Linked DNA regions of Lepisosteus oculatus. Each later gene encodes a partner of the first gene's protein in a complex. Links are inferred from orthologs where the notes say so. Each region holds a gene or a part of one and is shown in the gene's direction. Other genes may lie near its edges. The genes, in order: serpina10a and prozb.

The links.
Region 2: the proteins of serpina10a (region 1) and prozb are in contact, whole or in part, in a crystal structure (PDB 3H5C), measured with the Homo sapiens proteins. The link is inferred for Lepisosteus oculatus from reciprocal best matches to the Homo sapiens genes SERPINA10 and PROZ. Residues at the interface, in NP_001094077.1 of Homo sapiens: Arg88, Lys89, Ser91, Met92, His94, Asp95, His257, Asp259, Lys260, Tyr261, Asn282, Phe283, Lys305, Met306, Asp308, His309, Leu310, Ala311, Leu312, Asp314, Tyr315, Leu316; in NP_003882.1 of Homo sapiens: Cys129, Pro131, Cys141, Leu142, Pro143, Ser151, His250, Met251, Arg252, Asp254, Ala257, Glu259, Asn260, Glu284, Lys285, Asp286, Phe287, His290, Leu291, Thr336, Thr337, Arg338, Arg390, Ser392, Leu393, Trp394, Gln397.

Annotation. Positions count from the first base shown.
Region 1 is NC_090703.1:18,766,575-18,776,798, forward strand, and holds the start of serpina10a (serpin peptidase inhibitor, clade A (alpha-1 antiproteinase, antitrypsin), member 10a), read left to right. Parts: upstream 1-5,892; 5' UTR 5,893-6,000; intron 6,001-6,764; 5' UTR 6,765-6,777; coding exon 6,778-7,363; intron 7,364-7,897; coding exon 7,898-8,171; intron 8,172-10,224. Other genes in the region: atxn3 (ataxin-3), read left to right, coding at 264-427, 734-860, 1,554-1,633, 2,137-2,219. UniProt on the Homo sapiens protein: Inhibits activity of the coagulation protease factor Xa in the presence of PROZ, calcium and phospholipids. Also inhibits factor XIa in the absence of cofactors.
Region 2 is NC_090710.1:28,705,644-28,715,759, forward strand, and holds the start of prozb (protein Z, vitamin K-dependent plasma glycoprotein b), read left to right. Parts: upstream 1-6,118; 5' UTR 6,119-6,187; coding exon 6,188-6,260; intron 6,261-7,906; coding exon 7,907-8,070; intron 8,071-8,884; coding exon 8,885-8,909; intron 8,910-10,116. Other genes in the region: f10 (coagulation factor X), read left to right, coding at 97-293, 1,124-1,241, 1,691-2,244. UniProt on the Homo sapiens protein: Appears to assist hemostasis by binding thrombin and promoting its association with phospholipid vesicles. Inhibits activity of the coagulation protease factor Xa in the presence of SERPINA10, calcium and phospholipids.

The DNA of each region.
Region 1 (10,224 bases):
TCCAAATACATTTAGCAGTCGAATACCTTTATAAATGTCTGAATATTGGGATGAAAATATAAATATTGTCATCAGCTGGACCAATGAGGGAACTATATCAAGACATTTTTGAATGCAAAAATGCGTTATGACCAAGAAGTTATAATCTGTGATATCAAGTTAATTTTAATTTAATTTCTTTAAGTATATTTCTCACTCTTAAAGCCCTTGCTCTTTGAATTGTGCTTTTGCATATTTTCTCCCGGTAATATTTTTTATTGTAGTCTGGTAATGGACAGAACACTGAACTCCAACCAGAACTTGGAAGCAGTGCCAGTAGATGAAGATGAGGAGAACTTGAGGAAGGCTCTGGCACTTAGCCGACAAGACATTGAGGTGGAGGATGAAGAGGCTGATCTACGAAGAGCTATTCAGCTTAGTATGCAGGGTATGAGCAGTACGTTGTCTTTTTTGTGTAAAGAAACAGTTTTTGGAGTTGAGAGTTCCTCAATCTCATTTACTCTTCAAAATTTAAAATAACTTGGACTATTACATTATGCAAGGTATTTGTTAGTGTTTTTTTTAATAAGCAATTGTATGTTTACATGAAAGGAAATGACAGAAATTCAACCAGCTTGATAAGTATACTGTTGGGAAAATCTATTTGGCCTCACAGTGCCTTCATAGCAGAAAATGTTGTAAAAATTCAGTCATATTTGCTAGATTTGTTCGTCTTTTTCCATTCTGTCTTCAGGTACTACAGGCAACACTAAGCTTCCTGATCCCAAAGATGAAAATATTGCCCATACATCAACATCAGGCCAGAATGAAACGCTAACAGCAGAGGAGCTTCGAAAGAGAAGGCAGGCCTATTTTGACAAGTAGGTTTGTCCACCTTTCCATTTTCCTTGTTTCATTTTCAGGTTATCCTTTAGTGTCTCTGAGAACTACGGACTGTCTGTGTAGCACCAGTCTGGAGTGATGGTGTCACATGATAGACACAAAATAACTAGACGACTCCTATTTTGGGGGAAAAAAACATGTATTTTTCCATCTTCAGGAATATAAAAATGGCTTTAGTTTATTTCATATTCCCTTTCAAGTTAGTTCCACCACATGAACTTGAAATTAACACTGCATAAAAATACAAAAAGTTTTTCACAAGTATGTAAAAGGCTTCCAGGTGACCCAACCAGCAGAAGTGCTCAATGAGACAGCATACTGGACCTTTTAGACCAAGCATTACTGGTTCATGTAGGCAATGGCATTAGTAGATAATTCACCAAGCAGCAGAACACAATTGATCAAGCACCAGTCTACCAGGTTATCCTTTTTTAATCACAGTGAGCTATGTGCCTGTGAACATTTAGTGTCATCAGTGTGAGCCACATCTCTCCATTCTATGTGTGTACTCTGCAGTGGAAGCTGGGGTTCACAGTAGGAATAAAAGGCAGGGTGGACTTTTGTCTAGAAGTAATGGGTCAGCCAAAAGCCAGAAAGGAATGTACCCAACAAGATATTCTTCAACATGAAGTAGATTAAAGATATTAATGATAAATCCCATTTTATGACAGGCAGTCAACACAGCAGGCACGAGCTACAGCACCACAACAGCAAGAAAGCAAAAGCACTGGCACACTGGCAAATGACACAGGTAATATAGACACATCAGTGGCAATAGGACTTTTGATTTGTGATCTATTTTCCATTATGGGTTTATGAATATGAGGGCCTTATTTTATCTCTTTGAAAATCCTGGGTAAACTGAACTCTTCCTACTTATTTCATTAAATGTTTCTACAGTTTACCCACCAGGAAATTCAAGTGGGTAATGTGCTGTAAATTGCAATAAATGTTTTAGCTAACATAAACTGAGAGTATTGATCAAGCATGATTTGTGTGAATTGGAAATACCAAAACATGAAGAAAATAAAATCATGATATGGGAGCTGCCACAACCAGTCTCCTGCGTCTCCTTTCTGTGTAATTGCTGCTTAGAAAACGGTTCCATTTTTAACTGGGGGGGATTAAAAAAAGGCCTAGTACTTCTCTACAGTTTTATTGTTTTGATTGTTCTGTTATTGTGGAGGAGAATTTAAAATCCTTCAGACACTTTACAAACCAGTTATGTTTGTCTGCTTTGCACTGTTTAAACAGGGGAGGCTCCAAATGAGCAAAACGCAACACAGTCAACCTTAGGTCTAACTCCGGAGCAGCCTGACTCCAAGACAAGTCAGTAAAACATGGAGAATCCAGTGGTCAGTCCCAGAGTACTCTTCGCAATGCCCGTCCTTCTGTTCTGCTGAACTGTAGCAGCTGGTTGACCCAATGCATGAGCACAGAGCGTGTTGACGGAGGACTGGGTTTACAGATACTTGGAAAGGAAAACCGAGGGTGGGGGTTTGCGATCCTGTAACTGTATAACTGCCATTCCGTGTCCATGACGGCCTTCTGCTTCAGCACCTTGTCGTTTATTTTATTTGGTTTTTGTCATTCTCCTTCAAAAATGTGCATGTTTGTGCAAAATGCATTAATCAATGTAAGTAGAAGGGAAAGGGGAATTTGCAGTTTCTGAAAAACAGGGTACATGATGGATCTACAAGGTGTCCAGACTGTCCCTTTTGGAAAGGTATGGGACCACATGTGAATGAATCCTTTGTCCGATACGGTCAGTTCAGATCCCCCCCCCCCCCAACTCCTCCCAGAATCCTGTTGGAAAGGGTGTCAAATCTTGACAGATAAAAGAATGATAGATTCTGTTTTCAGAAAACCGTAAAAAAATAGCATTAATTAAGTCTCCTAGGAATCGGAAAAGGTCTTTACTCATTGGCCATAACTAAAAGGAGAACTTCTTTCTTCCGATATTAATTTATGAGGCTTTATCATTTAAAGTCTTTCCGCTAGGAATCTGATTTTGTAAAAAATTCATACATCACCATAACTTTACTATTTACCTTACTGTACATTATGTTTTAAACCTCCTAGATAAAAAATAATTAACACTATTTTATTATAATTTACTGTAGGGGCTATGAAGTGTTTACTTTTTTGTGCGTTTACGTTGATGTTACATTTATTTGGTCCAAGAAGAGGTGCCAATTTTCAAAGTATGTAGGTTTCGGTTAAAAGTTCTCCGGATGTAAAATTTCTTATCATTTATATTTCTCACATTTTTAAGTTCTGAGGTATACATAATTAGTAAAAAGTTAAAAGGGTCAGGTTGTCTTTTGTTTTAATAGTTTTCATATCATGATTTAATGTTTTGTTTATTTTGTTTATTACTGGGATCACTCTGAACATAAAAGGTTTAGGATTTTGTTTTGGCATTTATTAGTGCGGCAGATCTTAACAGTTTTAGAGATATTTAAATTATTTGATTTTTTTAAATGTAAACTGCATTGCCACATGATTGTCTACTTTGAAAACCTTTTCTTCCCATAAATAAACCTTTTTTTCCATGCCAGTCTGTTCTTCATTTTTTCCCTTTATAATGTGCAGCTTATGTATACTTTTTTACCAAAAGATCTCCAGAGGATTGCAATGTATACTGTACATGTTAAATATAGTGGTGGTCTCATTTTTACTAAATTTCAGATTTTCAGAAACCTAGAACTTTGCAAATAGAAACATCTTTTTCTTTGTAAAGTTGTACCTTTTTGTGACATGGAAGGTTGCACTATTATTCTGTTGCTTGAATTCTAATCTCATATCAACTTTGCATTTTTCTATTTTGAAATCCTTCATTTTTAACAGCCAGAAAAATCCCTTGACTTTTACATAATTGGAAAAGAGATGAGCTAGTTTTACATAACCTCTTTGAGGAAAAAAGAAACCTGCAATAAGAACTGGCCCTTACTTAGGCCATCGTGAGAGGGCTGAAGAGGTGATTTTGCATTACAATAGTAGAAAACGACCATTGCTTTTCAAATAAGGCTAAAATCCCTACCAATTATTACACAAAAGCTGCTCGTCAGACTGCTTCTCAAACCTTTTTGTAATAGCCAAAATTTGTTATTCAGATTTAATATTAGCAAGGTTTTTAAAAATAAAAAATCGAACAAAGTTTGTGAAAGAATGGAAATTATTTGTTAACACAATTTATATATTCAATTCCATTGGAAATTAGAAGCTAGACATAGTGCACCGACTGATGCCATTGTGCCCTATTTTCCATGTTGCTGGCATCTGGAGATGTGAAGAAAGTACAGCTGGGAGGGAAAGACTAATTACCACCACTAATAACTCCAACAGAGGGAAGCTTTCAAGAACTCCCTCCTGTCTCAACGCTTCTGTAACAGCAGGAGGATCAAACTGCGCAAATAACACAATAGAATACCAGCTCCTGCAAAACTAAATTGCACAGTGATGTACTTTCCTGAAAGCAATTATCAAGTGTCATGTTTGCACAAGGGCTAAAGAAATTATGAACCAACACTTGAGATTATAGACTGGCACCATGTCTCACAATTGGCTGCATGAAGGTTTTCGAGTAGTGTTATGAAGTTTTGGCACTGATGTTAAAAGAAATGATGTTTCTCCATGTGATTGCTAGTTATCTGATAGAGGGATTTTCTTTTTTTTTCATTAAACACAAAATATATATAATTTATACATATACATTTAATATACTGATAATCTGTCTTAACTTGATTAACATAAATATTCCTTCGGACATTCTATTTAACCTATATTTCACTTTTAGCATTTTTATGATTTTGCAATTGTAGGTGATTCAGCAAATGTACTGTAGGTTCAAAAAGTTTGAGAGTGCCTTACTTTCCTTCCTGCTTGAATTTTGTTCCATATGAGACAGCTTGACACTTCCTTTTAAAACCAACTTGGTCATCTCCCAGAGCTGAGTGGGTATTTGTTCAGATTTAAGGATGTCATTAAATTCTGTGAAGTTATTCTATTTTAAAAAAAGTCCTCATCTTTTTTTTAAAAATAGATAAAAATGCTATCTGAAAGGTGTATATTTAAATCATATTTATGTGAAATTTTAAAACTAATGGGTTTATGGTTAGACAGAATGGTTGTATCATTTATTCTGATATTCTAGATAAAAGAGAATAATTTATCAGAAAAAGATCATCCCTAAAACGATTTATCACACGGAGAGTAATGTGAATATTCTCCACCTATAATTGTTTTTTACTTTGAAGAATTTTTAGTTTAGAGAAAGATAAAAAAAATCAGAGAATATTCTTTGGTCTGTATAGGTTTACTGCTAGAATATTGGATCACCATTCCACAATGCTTCCAAACTGTTTTGTGAAATGAAAACCTAGCGTTATGTATTTAATGTCTACACTCTGCTTAAGCACAATCTCATATTTCATACAAATGCACTGTCCGGCTTATTACGTTTGTATTTGTAGATTTCATTGTTAAAATTCCCCATGTTACATTGCAGTGTATTAAAAATATATTTGATTAGTCAATATCTGTGACTTCTGCATGCATGTCCTATGTGTGTTTCCATAATTGTTTTAGTAGACTGAACAGTAGATACAAAGATATACCTGAAAAAAGTACGACTTTACGTTTCACAAGAGGCCTAAATGATTTGTTTCATGACGTTTCAGAAAGTTCAGCTGTTTAGAAATAAATGAAAGCACCAAGCAGTTAATATGTTGTGTATTAACAAAATAATGTGCATAAAAACAAATGATTTTTTCAATCATTTAAACTCTGCGTAGCATAATGTGCACTACTGTTCAAAGGTGTGTAAACAATGAATAATATCAGTATTGTTCATTCATTTTCACTCTTAAATATTATTCCCACTGTCATATTAAAAATGTTTTTGTCCAGAAAGATTTGAAACCTGAGTTTTTCTGAGCCACCCAGCATTGAACCTCTTGAAAAAAGCTGGCCATTATTTACAAAATAGTTAATAGACAACCACAAAAGTACACTTGCACTTTGCTCCTCTAAACATTATATTTGGGTATTTTCTTTTGCCTGTAAGACACTTTTGAGACAAAAAAAGTAGAGAAGCAGGAACAGAAGCCAAATATTGTAAGTTAAACATCATCATTCTATTTAATCTTTAAGTCGGATTTACAATATAGCTGTACTATGGTGTACTATGGTGGTAAAAGGAGGAGTAAATCACAATATTGCATTTGCGAGAAAATTGTCAATTCCGTGTTTAAACATGTTAAACTACTAATAGTGTAAAGAAAATATCTCTGAAATAAACCAGGGTAGTAAGTGAAGCATCATAGCTTTAGGGATCTGGGTTCAATTCTAGGCTGTTGTGCATGCTGGGTGGCTTTCTACAGTATGTTATATGTGCATTTTCTCTTTGTACAGTAAGCATGATTTTTCTCCAGGTGTGCCTGGTTTCCCCTCTCTTCTTAACGAAACCTGGTAGATTGATTAGCTATGCTAAATTGCCAAATCCACGAGGAGTGGGGTCTCTGTCATTAATCTGCCGGTAAAACATAGTTCTCCTACAATACTGACCTCAAAATATGTGAGATAAGGTTCAGATGAAGAATATATAGATATCGGAATGACTTACTTATTAATCATCAATTCTATATTTAAGTAATAATTCAAAATTATGACTTAAATTTATGTAAAATTTGTGGTTTTACAAACCTTTGAACAGAACTACATGTACTGTACATGTATGTAATGTTTACATTGCATTGGAGCATTACACAATGCAAACATATTATATTTTGCTTTTTACTAGCATGTTTTCATTGCTTGAGAATTAAAACTGCACAAATGCCTCACACCCTGCCTTATGTTGCATTTTATTGTGTCTGTAGGGGTGAAATCAAAATGAAGACAAGACTTCTTTTTCTGGTATGTGCCTCACTCTTTGCCCCCCTGAGCAAAGGTCAGAAGGAAAATCCCACTATCATGGACCTGTCTACAAAAAACACAGATTTTGCTATGAACCTTTACAGGAAGCTTGCCAGCCATCATGATGACAACATCTTCTTCTCCCCTTTGTGCATGTCAGTAGCATTCACCATGCTATCGATGGCTGCAAAAGGGGATACTTACAATCAGATCCTTAAGGGTCTCAACCTCCAACTGCTTCAACGAGCGGACCAGGCAGACCTGATCCCTGAACTGTTCCGACAACTGGAAGCCAATATCACCCAAAACCAAGACTTGATACTGGCCCGGGGCAGTGCTATGTTTGTTCATCAGCAGTTTGAAATTGATAAGATTTTCAGTGAGCAAATCAAGAAGTTCTTCAACTCAGATATAATGAACATAGATTTCTCCAAGACCGAAGCTAGCAAAACAACCATTAATGATTATGTAAAAATGAAGACGAATGAAAAGGTCATGGGGCTCATCAGTCAGATAGATCCTCTTACTCAGCTGGTGCTTGTAAATACCATTCTTTTCCAAGGTGGGTGAATAATAATACTGTAGCAACCTCACAGATGGTAAAATGAGGATAATGAAGAGATTACAGGTTTACCGTTCAGATTTGATGTTTTTATGATTTAGTTTGAAATTCAACATATAATGGAGTATAAATATATTATTAATATTATGTTAATGCCCAGAATTGTCTGGATGCTCAATTGAAATGTCTTGAGCAAACCTTTCTTTAATGAATCAAAATTTAGAGCCGTAGCTACAACAAATATCTCTATTGTTTAAAATAATTTACTTAGTAAAGCATTTTAAACAATAGAGATTTTGATATGGTTGAAGAAAGTAACACTAGAACTCTTCAGTTTAATATTGGCTCAAAATCTGAAGGTAATTATGTAAAAAGTGTTCTACATTGTTTAAATACATATTATTTATGTTGTGTCTGTTTATATATTATAATAAAAAAGAAACCCAAAAAAGAAAAACATGAAACTTCCTGACAAGTTGGCATTGACTCAGATTTCATTTGTTATTAAACAGATTTGACTTTGTCTTCGTTTAGGCAAATGGGAGCTACCATTTAACTCCAGCTTTACAGAGGAAGCACGATTTTATGTTGACAAATACAATATTGTCAAGGTCCCCATGATGTTCCGAGAAGATAAATATTACTTGGCCTACGATCCTGTGCTGAAGCTCGGCATTCTAAAGTTGCCATACAGAGGCCATGCTGCAATGCTGGTCCTTCTTCCTGACAAGGGTGTTGACTATACATCCATCGATGATGAAATCTCTGCAGAGAGCTTTCTGGGATGGATACAGAAACTGAAGAAAACGTAAGCAGACCTCTAATAAGTGCTTTCTTTTTTAATGTATTTAGTTGGAAAACTGGAAAGGTACACGCAAACCTTACAGAGCCTTGCAAAAGTATTCAGACTCCTCTGATGTTGTCCCATTTTGCAGAATTACAAAACGCACACCTCTTTTTCAATTTAATGTTTTATTCTAAACCTGAATGCTCGAACTGAAGAGGTGTCAGGGTAAGATTAATGTCAGTAAATGTCAGTAAAAATAAAGAGAAAAAAATGAAATCTGTTGATTGCACAGGTATTCAGATTCATTTGGGATTCAAACATAGTGCAATTTTAACCATCTTTTTTGGCAGATTTGCTCAAGCTCTCTCAAGTTGCTTGAGGATAATAATAATAATAATTGCTAACACTTATATAGCGCTTTTCTGGACACTCCACTCAAAGCACTTTACAGGTAATGGGGACTCCCCACCACCACCACCAATGTGCAGCATCCACCTGGATGATGCGACAGCAGCCATAGTGCACCAGAACGCTCACTACACATCAGCTATCAGTGGGGAGGAGAGCAGAGTTATGAGGCCAATTCATAGATGGGGATTATTAGGAGGCCATGGTTGGTAAAGGCTAATGGGAAATTTGGCCAGGACACCGGGGTTACACCCCTACTCTTTTCGAGAAACGCCCTGGGATTTTTAATGACCACAGAGAATCAGGACCTCGGTTTTACGTCTCATCCGAAGGACGGCGCCTGTTTACAGAATAGTGTCCCCGTCACTATATTGGGGCATTAGGACCCACATGGACCGCAGGGTGATCGCCCCCTGCTGGGCCCACTAACACCTCTTCCAGCAACAACCTTAGTTTTTCCCAGGAGTTCTCCCATCCAGGTACTGACCTGGCTCACACCTGCTTAGCTTCAGTGGGTTAACAGTTGTGAGTTGCAGGGTGATATGGCCGCTGGCAGTAAGAAAAGAAACATTTAATCAATATCCAAAATCAGTATACTTCATTTTTTTTATGATCACCCTGGTCACTTGTGGATAGCAGTTTTCAAGTCTTTCCACGGGCTCTCAATAGGATTCAGGTCAAGACATTAACTGAGCTGCTCAAGGACAGGCTGCCTTCCACTTCCTAATGATCAGCTTACCCATGCACAAGGAGATATTAGAGTCTTTGAAGTGAATTTATACTCTTCTGTACCTTTACATAACTTTGTTACAAGGCATCTGAATACTCAAAACTGAACCCAAGAGCAAGAAAATGGAGAGTGGATGAAACACCCAAAGATCCAACTCGGCTTGAGCCGAGGGAAAGTGAAGTAAAAAGTAGTGCCAATACAATGATACATTACTGGCCAGTGGGGGGATTAGCCCAGGCCCAGGTTAGTAAAGAAAGAGAAAAGGGCAAAGCTGCTACAGTCTAAAGAGAAGCTGGCTGGCAGCATCGCAGGTGAAAAAAGGAAAAAGGGATAGCATGGTGACCTCAGTCCTTGATCAGAATCAGGGAGTTTTGGCTCTTGGGAAATTGCTCTCTCGACTTTGGAGTGGATACCTACTGCTGTGCTCCCCAAAACAAGGGGACCGCATGGGTCTGGTGGGCAGTCCTAGTCTGGGTTAATTAGACTGGGGTGCAGGCAGGTGGACAAGCAGACTGGTGCAGGAGAAAATTAAAGGGAAGAAATCTTCCTTTAAGAACTGGCCACCGAAGCAAAGATTGCCCTAGCCCGTCAGCAAGCAAAAAGAATAGAGATAATAAGTTCACTGTGGCGAGAAAAGAGAAAGGCTGGCATTACACAACACCAGCCCTCATTCAAACTGCCCACCTCAGCCCATGGACTGGGATCAGGGGGCCTTAGCTCTTGGAATATTGCTCTCTCGGCTTCAAATTCCTACTGCAGAGCTCCCAGAAAGAGGGAGCTATACAGGTTGATGGGGGGCAGCCCTCTTGTGTAGCCAGGGATGTGGACTGGCAAGCTAACAGGATAACACACAGAATAAGAAGCACTCATTAAGTGCTGCCTGATTTAATTGTCAGTCCTCAAAAATGTTACTGTGTATCAGGTAAATCTATTATG
Region 2 (10,116 bases), on another chromosome or scaffold:
CTAAATGCTGCTACACCAAACATGTGGCTTTCACTTGAAAGTCCTCCTAAATGTTCAGTCATGAAATTCAACTTTCCTGCTTTGTTTCCACTACAGAAGAGTTCCCTTGTGGCGTTCTGAAGACTTCACTGACCAGGACATCCTTAGTAGATACCGACTTTGGCAATGATACAGAGATTCTGAACAGCACGATCACACCTGATACTGAAGAACCCATGATATTAAGCAGTGCCAACTCAGATGCGAGGATAGTCAATGGAAACGAATGTCTTCCTGGACACTGTCCCTGGCAGGTGAGTAGGTCAGGCAAAAAAAAAACATCATTTTAATACTGGCAAGATTTGAATGCAAAGCTTCTGAATGAAGCTAACATTTTGCAAGGCTGTCTGTTAAAAATTCTGAACCCCGTACAAAAGGTACCTTCCAAGGCCATTGTAAACTACTTGTATTTCTTCAGAGCACACTCCAGCAGCCAAGCCACAGATAGATTGCTTTCTTCTATCTTTTGAAGGTGCACTATAAAGAACACCAGGACTGAAAGAAATAACATATATACTTTCTATAATGATCAGGAAATCAGCAGTCCATTTTTCCTCATGCATTTGGAAGCTGCTTATACACATTTGTTATGCTGCCATGCTGTATAGGCATATTTGAAGACATGCAGCTCAGGTGTTTTCACATTCTGTCACTCTCCACCTTGTCTTGCTTTGACCTCTGTGTTAGTTTCTCCACACGCTGCTTTTGGCCGTGCTGGCCGTCCTGCTTCAGAAGAGAAGGAGCAGGGAAAGCGCAGTGGCTGAGAGCACTCACAACAGGATATCGAAGGGGCAGAGATAGGTGCTACAACATCCTTTTCAGTTGTTGCCTTGTAAATTTGCAGTCCCAGGTGTATAGTTGAACTTGTTTTTCAGCCAGGGGGTAAGTCAGACAACTGAATGAAATTAAGACAGAATTTGAATGAAATTAAGAAAAAAAATGAAAAATAAAAGACATCAGTTATGAAGAGTACATAAAGCTTACGGGACTGAACCAACAATACACTACCTGGATGCAAATTGTAAGTCATTGGTATGTCATTTGCTCTTTCATGTTATTTTTCTTTTTGTCTTTACTTTTTTAGGCTCTTTTAATAAACGAGGAAGGAGTAGGATTTTGTGGTGGGACCATTCTGACTGAACATATTATATTATCAGCCGCACATTGCATGAGAGAGTCTAAGTCATTTACAGTAAGGCTTGGTATGTGTCTTTTTTTTATTATATTTGAGGATTCAATAGCATAAAATGTTTGTGTCTCCTTATCTAATTTTTCCTCTTTCAGAGTGAAGGATATTTAATCAGTCAGTATATTGTTTAGACCAATAGTCAAGTTATATTGTTAATAATGAGTTACACAGTTCACTTGTGTTAAGCCCTTTATGCAGTGTAAATGGAATTTGTTTGCCTTCAGCTCAGCATGTTAAGCCAAATGTATTATGATGAAAACATAAAGCTTTTTTTAACATATTGAAAAATAGACCTAATATGCTTTAAAATAAATATTCACTGTTTCTTCAGAAAAGGTTCCATGGGAACTTTGATTTTTGAAAAGTATTAGCTAATAATAAAATATACAGCACTAGAACAACCGTTCATATTTATGCCGTAAATTACATATAAATTCAAACTTTTATATCCCTAAATTTCAGGGGACTATGACACAGAAAAGACTGATGACAGTGAGGAAACATATCCCGTGGAGAAAGTGATCATTCACAATAAGTACGTCACGGACACCTACGACAACGATATAGCCATCATCAAGCTGAAGGAGCCCGTCAAATTCACCAAGTTCATCATTCCGGCTTGCCTTCCGGAGAAAGATTTCGCCGAGAAGGTCCTGATGAAGCAGAACGACGCCCAGATCAGTGGCTTCGGGCGCACTCACGAGAGAGGCAGGCAGTCCACCATCCTCCAGAAGCTCACTGTGCCCTACGTGGACAGGCTCATGTGCATCGAGTCCAGTCAGGCCCAGATCTCCGCTAACATGTTCTGCGCTGGCTATGACAAGGTAGCCAAGGATGCCTGCCAGGGGGACAGTGGCGGTCCCCATGTCACACAGTACAAAGACACGTGGTTCATCACTGGGATAGTGAGCTGGGGGGAGGGCTGTGCCAGGGAAGGCAAATATGGGGTCTACACGCAGGTGTCCAAGTTCCTTCCATGGATCAAAGCAGTTATTAAGTACTTCAGTAAAGCATGACCTTTCCTTTGCTTCTGATTTGTTCACGATTTTACACCGGGCAAACAGAATGACTAATACTACTAATTTCAGTATCTGATGAATTGAGTAATGTGTGAATTTTAAGCGTGGCTCTGTATCTCAGTCTTTTTCCATGGCAGTGGAATAACCCTGAAAAGAAATTAAATGAAGACGCTGTTTACAGAAAGCATTAAAGGTCTCGTTTGCTGATTTTGTACATCTGGGGCTTGAATACCAGATGATTGAAATGTTAGCGGTGCTTGGTATGTCAGTAACACATCTACAGTACAGTATTCAATACACTAGAAATATATCCTAAACAATGTGCTTTTATCCCTTTCAGATACTTTTTTTGCTGTATTAGTTATGGAACGTGGCTGCCTTCCTCTAGCTCTCCAAGCAATAGAAACATCCTCTACACCTCACCAGTTTCCCAGTGCAGTTTCACTCCCTGTGCACGTGAATTCCTTCATGCCAATCTAGCATCCCTGAGAAACAGCAGATCTCGCTTGAATGATACACGGATGGGTGTATCGGTGATAGGCTTCTACTTGATCAATTTCTACATAGAGCTAAATGAAATCGAGCGTCTTTCTGAAATAAATCTGACCTGAGATCATTGCAAATGCAAAATCATCGTATATGTGACACATTCATCATCGGAATGCTGCTGGTTCCCAGTGAGGGGGGGGCCCCACCTGGAGCCTATCTCAGGGGAACAAGGTGCACTCCAGCACTGCTCTGTGAATGGAATGGCACTGCGTCACTCACACTGCACACAACTGTGAGACCCTGGGAGGGTCAGAGTCAACCGGAGAAGAGCCACACAAACACAGAGGGAACATGAACTTCAGCCAGATGCCTCCCCAGTCCAGAGCTGAACACAAGACCTACAGGCTGTGAGGCGGTCGTGCCACACCCCACCCCACCATACTGATCAAAGGACTTTTAGAAGTGATTTTTCTCATCAGAAGTGAAAACGCTGAAATGACAAATTCATTTTGATTTGTGTTGTGTCATGGCATTTGCCAAAACCACTTTATACCCTACGGTGTCGCGGGAGGCCGGAGCCTACCTGGCAAGCAACGAGCGCAAGGCAGGGTACACCCTAGACAGGACGCCAGTCCATCGCAGGGCCAGTGCAGGTCAGTCATACATGGGGACAGTTTGGAGGCCACGGTAAAGGCCGAGGAGGGAAATCTGGCCCGGACACTGGGATAACTCCCTACTCTTCTCGAGAAATGCCCGGGGATCTTTAATGACCACTGAGAGTCAGGACCTCGGTTTAAAGTCTCATCCGAAAGACAGTGCCACTTCAGTATAGTGTCCCCATCACTATACCGGGGCATTAGAACCCACACAGACCGCAGGGTGAGCGCCCCCTACTGGCCCCACTAACACCTCTCCCAGCAGCTTTCCCAGGGGGTCTCCCATCCAGGTGCTGACCAGACTGAGAGCTGCAGGGAGGTATGGCTGCCGGCTGATTTGTGTCATTTGAAATTAAATTAGATTCTAAGATTTCTTTAGAGCATGAAGGAGTACAAGATCAGCCCGTCTTTAGGCCACTTGGTTCCTACTGTCTTTTTGATCCTTGTGCATCTAACAGTATTTTCAGCTCTAAATGTCCTTGTTTCTCACTATCCTATATGTAACAGTGTCCCCTGGTCCCTGTAAACCTTTTGAATCCCTCTAATTGATCATTTCGTCAGTTTCATTTTTTTAAATATTTTTTATCAAATCTTTTTGTCTCCTCATTTGCAGGCTGAAAATGCCAACAGAGTCATTTTCAGACCATTGTACCCCACAGTCCAAACGGCTCCTGGCCGTTATTATGGTAGTTATTACAGTTTCTTTCCACTTTTAGTCTGGTCATTTTAAGGGGGCATAGAAACAGTGGAGGAAATGTTGTACTGGTGGAAAAACCACCTCAGAGTGATCCTAGGAGTTATTTTAACCTCTTTTATTTCTGTTAAAGAATTTATATATATTGTAATGATGTTTTCTGACAAAAGGGAAGAGTCCCAGTTCCTTAAACTGAGCTCCACTGTGGTTCAAATGTAGAGAACATATTTTACCACTTTCCTCTCGTTTTTATTGCATTATTGAATTATCTCAAAAAAAAGATTTTGACAAGTCTACATAAACAAATCTTGTCCATTTATTTTCCTCTTCAAGTTCCAGTACCCAAATATCTGCTGTTCACAAACTATATCAGTGGGTTCATTCTTTATTATAATTGTGCTTTCTGGAATTTATTTTCTAAACCTGTTCTGAATGACTTTATACAAACAGAAATTATACATATAAGTAATCATACTGTGGTATGGCTCTAATCTATGTCGCTCCAGGGGGAATGATCATTGTACAAAAAAAATGGATACCAAAGGTTCCCAGTTACAGGGGTGATCACAAAGTCATACAACTTATATAATTCTGGCAAACTGTACACATTTGCAGCAAAAATGTTTGAATAGAAGTTAAGTAGTTTGTTAAAAAGTAACCAGGTAGCTCGATTCAAAGCTAGATTAGACCAAAATTCAGATCCCTGTTCATTAAAAACATTGAATTCAGGAGAAATACTGTAATAGCGACTGAACTCTGACCTTGAATTGGTCGATAGTACTGTATGTTCCAGTCAAACAGACCAGCAAAGCAGGTAGCTTTTAACAGAAAAACAATCCTCAGCCAGACAAATGATTGCTTACTGTTAAAGGTCAAACCTGGAAAACAGGCAGATCTTCCCATTTAACCCCAGAATACATACAGTCTGGAACAAATTTATCACTACCACTATAAACATATCACTATCACCACTTTATCAACAGGACATTTTTCTAAAAAGTGAAAAGTAGTTTTCCATGGACAAAAACACAATGTCAGTACTAAAATTAAACTGATGCATGTGATGTTCTGTGCTTGGAATGTCCTTTGAGAAATATAATTGCACCCTTTCCTTTCATTGAAGTGCGCATTGCTTAGTTTGGTGCACTTCACATGTGTATTCATTGTACTGTCTTTACAAAAATAAAACTATAATGGACAGAAATGAAACCTTGATAAAACATGTACACCTTACATGAGCAATGTGTAGACGTTTCATCATAAGAAACACAGTAGAAAAAATTACAGCATTACAAGAAGTTAATATTAGGGACAATTCTTTTTGACATCTTGATAATCATGTACTAATAAAAACACCCAAAGCCTACAGTACATATATTCAACCATTTGAAAACACTGACACCAACTGGACAAAAATGCAATTTACATGAGGATAAATTTTAACAATTCTATCCATGTGCATCTTAAACTATGTCACTGATCATGCTGAATAGCAGTAGCAGGGGTGCAATATGATTATGTGAAATGATTTTTTCACTTTACATTTATTATTTCATTATTTCTTGTTTATTTAGTTGTGTTTACAGCTTACAATTAACTGAACATCTGAAATGTCTGACAGTAATAAACTTTATTTATATAGCACCCTTAAAGGTGGCTTCTCAAAGCTCTTTAAAGAATGACAGTAACAATAAACAAATTACACAGGATATGCATGATGAATTGAGACAGTAGATGGGGGTACTGAATACAGTAGGAGCAGAGGGGTGATGAACAGAACCTGTGAACCTGACTAGATTACAAACTATACCAGATTCTAGATTATTTTAGCTTCTCTGATTTAGTGTCATGTTTAAAAACAAAATAGTGCAATGTTTATAATGGTATTACTAAGGATATTCTTTCTTTTCTAGCAGCAGTTGAAAAGCAATGTTTTAAAACAGTGAGCAATGTAAAGTCCACCCCTGCTTTAAACCAAATATTGCCCCAATGCAGAAAGGTTATGCAATACTCCGAGTAAGAATTGGTGATCTTTGTCCTCAGAGTGAAGGTTTTGTTTTAAGCTCTTTGTACAGTAGCATCTGAATAGGTTGGTGTCATCATGGTGTCTTTGGACTGGTTTTTATGTTTGACACTTGTGGGGTTCTTTTCCATAACTGGTGCTGATTATGAAGGTAATACTTTTCTATTGCTATTTAAAAATGTTTTTGTAATGTCGACATACGTATACACTAACAGTGCAACGTCAAATCTGCGTGTTACAGTTGGCAAGACTTATTCTTGGATTTAACATTTTAAGAGTAGTGATCAGGAACAATAAAGCATTTATTGCATTTTTATTTGATTCTTGTAAAGGGTTTTCACTTTGAAAAGAGATGTAAGCTTCACGAATCTCTAAGCTTCTTATCAGGAAATGTTGTGATTTTGTGTTCAGCACACTAATTTATACTGTTGAAGATTTTAGACAAAGGCCACCCAGTGTTGCTGACTTAAGAAAAGTAAGTTGCACAGTACAGCAGGATTCATTTCAGAGTAAGAGATCAGACTTAAACCAAAAATGTTTTTGTCAAAAGTTTTTGTATGTTTTTGGTTTCTTTCATTTCAGTTTTAGTTCTTTATTAGAATATTCCACTGGCCCGTTTCAAGATATCTTTCCCATTTTCATTTCAAGACAAAAGACCTCAATGAGAGAAAGACAAACACAACAGCACATCCCTGTAGTCATGAGAGACCTTTGCTGCTTTTGATTTGGGATTGAAAGCTATTGCATGCTACACCTGACTGAAGATGATTGTCTTCATTCTGGTCTGCATTTGGCACTGTCACACTTCTCTTATAGTCTGTATATACTACTGTATTACAGTACGGTGTGTGTACTGTATATCATCTAATACATTCAGCAAGAGAAACACGAGCATCTAACAGATGGACTTCAGGGAAATAAATTGTAGCAGCTACACTGACTTGTCATTGAACAGACTTGGCAAATTCATGACGCTGATCAATATTTCTCATGAACTGGGTTAATCAACAGAGAGTGGAAATCGCAGGCTAGTTCTAAAGGGACTTTGTGCTTGGGTTCACTTCCCAGCCTGCTGTCTGTGTGGAGTTTGTATGTTCTCCCTGTGCTTGTGTGGGTTTCTGCTTGTGCTGGTAGGTGTCTGTGTGCACTCTTCGATGGTCTGGAGTCCTGTCCAGGGTGTATCCTGTGTTTGTGTCCGTGGCTTGCCGGGTCAGGCTTCAGCTCCTCGTGGCCCTGTATCGGATAACGCAGGGAGGAAATGGGATGGATGATGTTAAACCCAATAAAAACCCAATTGTTTGCGAGATTTGGAAAATTTGAATTTCGGTATCCGCAGCTAAATCGACAATGTAGTTCAAGTAGGCTGCAAAGCAACGCCTGAAGGTTTATTCTGTGCTGAAAAGAGAAGAAAGGGAACACACCACCCGAAGAAGGCTCCACAGCCGAAATGTTGTGTTTCCTTTTTTCTCTTTTCAGCACGGAATAAAGCTTTATGTGACCCTGAATCGACAATAATAAACTTTAATAATAATAAACTTTATTTTATATAGCGCCTTTAAAGGTGGCTTCTCAAAGCGCTTTACAGGATGACAACAATAGTAAATAAGAAGAATAAATGGCAGGGAAGCGCAATGTGAGAACTCTTCCTGGCTGAAGGCACCGAGTCGGGGGGCTGCTGTGTTTCTTGGTCGTGACACAAACAGTCCCAGCTTGATGCCGTTGTGCACTTGCCTCACGCTCATTGCTGCGGCGCTACGGAAAGAAACAGGTCACTGCAGAGCGTCGCTTTTCTTCCAGTCTTTCAGACCCAGGAGGAAGCCGCCCAGATCCTCCGAAGAACTAAGCGTGCGAACTTCATGCTCGTCGAGGAGATCCTAAAGGGCAACTTGGAAAGAGAGTGCCATGAAGAACTCTGCACCTATGAGGAAGCCAGAGAAGTTTTTGAAGACACAGACAAAACGGTTCGTATTTTTCTTTGAAATGCATGGACCAAAGCTGCTTTGCTGCTTTTTGTAACTCACTCGCTGGCCTGGTTAAGCCCTTTCCTCCAGGGGTAACAGACTGCACAGATGCAGGCACAGGGCCAGCGTGCAATTTGATTCAAACTACGGCATTAGTGTGTATGCGCTGTAGGTGATTTAAGACAGCCCTCTTGCTTTTGCAACAGCAAATGATTGTCATGATATAAACTAAATGTCACACGTGGATTCAGCAGATTGAAAATATTATGATAGTTTATACTGCTATTACCAATTATACAGTAAATGCAAAAAGGGTATGGATGGGGTCTCAGTGTTGGCAGCAATGGCACAAGTAAAGTTTATTTCTAAGTTGAAAATTTGAAGAAATCTAACATTTGGGCTGATGAGCCTTCTTCGGGTGTCATCCGTATTTTTTGCGTAATTATTATCTGCAACGATCTTATTACTTTTGAAGTATTCCAATTTGTTCAGATACATTAGGTATCTAATTAGAAAAAAACTATAAACGTTCACCTTAACTACATATCTCTAATTTCTGCCCTTTACACAGACTAGAGTAAAACATGAACCATAAGTCCCATAAAACATTCCCAAAGCACAACCTGTTCCACAAAACTCCCAGCACTCCTTCTAAAAGTCTGTGATCACCCCTCTTTGCCTAACCAAACCACAGAACTGTGCTGCTGGCTATTTCTAGAAATTATTTTATTCAAAGTGTCTTCAAACAGAGCTGTAAGGTGTAATGTCCTGCAGAGTTGAACTAAAGTCTGTTTTTTTTGTGTTTGTTTTCTAGAACAAATTTTGGGCCGTTTACAAAGGTATGAATGGTGTTCTTACAGAACGAAATGTCGGTGATGTTTCATGCATATCTAACTTTCTGGATAATTACACACATTTCTTCAATATTTCTTATGTAGTTTAAGCATATTTACGGCATTTCCATATTTCTCTCCTAACCAGCTCTTTAGCTCATTGAAAGTGCGCTTCTCATAATGAAAAATAAAGATTCCCTAGAACGCCTGTCAGAGGCACAGTGGAGCGCTGGCTGGCATTGCTGCCTCATGGGAACAAGTAATAGGTTTATTCCATGCTGAAAAAAAAGAAGAAAGAAACACGAAGGAGACTCGGAGACCGCTTCAGAGAACACGTCAGGGCTGTGAAGATTAAAGATCTCTCCAAGCCCATTGTTTCTCATTTCACCTCTGACGGCCACGACCACTCTAATCTCTCCGTCTGTGTTCTCCAAGATGGTTTTCCGAACTCATACATCAGAAAGACCACCGAAACTAAAATTATTCTGCAGCTAGGATCACACATTCTCCCTTCCCTTAACGACAGATTACTGTTCTTTTAAATTTTCTCCATTCATTGGAAGTTTCATTTCACACCTCTTGATTGGCCTCTCTTTCTGTCCCCTGCTCCCGCCTCTCACTCCTCCTCCCTCCCAACCTTTGTTCTCCCGCTACTTTACCTTTGCCTACTGCCCTGTCTCTCTCACACCTGAAGAAGGCTCCACGGCCGAAATGTTTTGTTCTCTTTCTTCTTTTTTTCAGCATGGAATAAACCTATTACTTGTTCCTTTGCAGCCTACGCATGCTGACGCAGCTACCCACCTGAACTATTGCTGCCTCATGCTGGGGTGCGGTCTGTGTGGAGTTCGAATGCTCTCCGCAGTTTCCTCCCGCAGTCCAAAGACATGCTGGCACGTTAATTGGCCCTGGTGTGAGTGCATGGACTGGCATCCATCAGTTATTTATCACATATTATACTGATCCACACAGGGCACACCATGCACCAACACTTAATGATAACATACTGTAAGATAGTACAATATATAGATTATATACTTATATAATACGTAGATATATACTTCATGATACTGCACTGATAATACACTCAAGGCATTTTAGCCGAACTGAAAAGCAAAAAAGGGCCTTTAGCTCTCATGACTAAGTAATACCTTATTACTTACAGCCGAGATTTGTACAATCCTTGTGCTGAAGGGCTGCTTTCCTCCAGATTTTC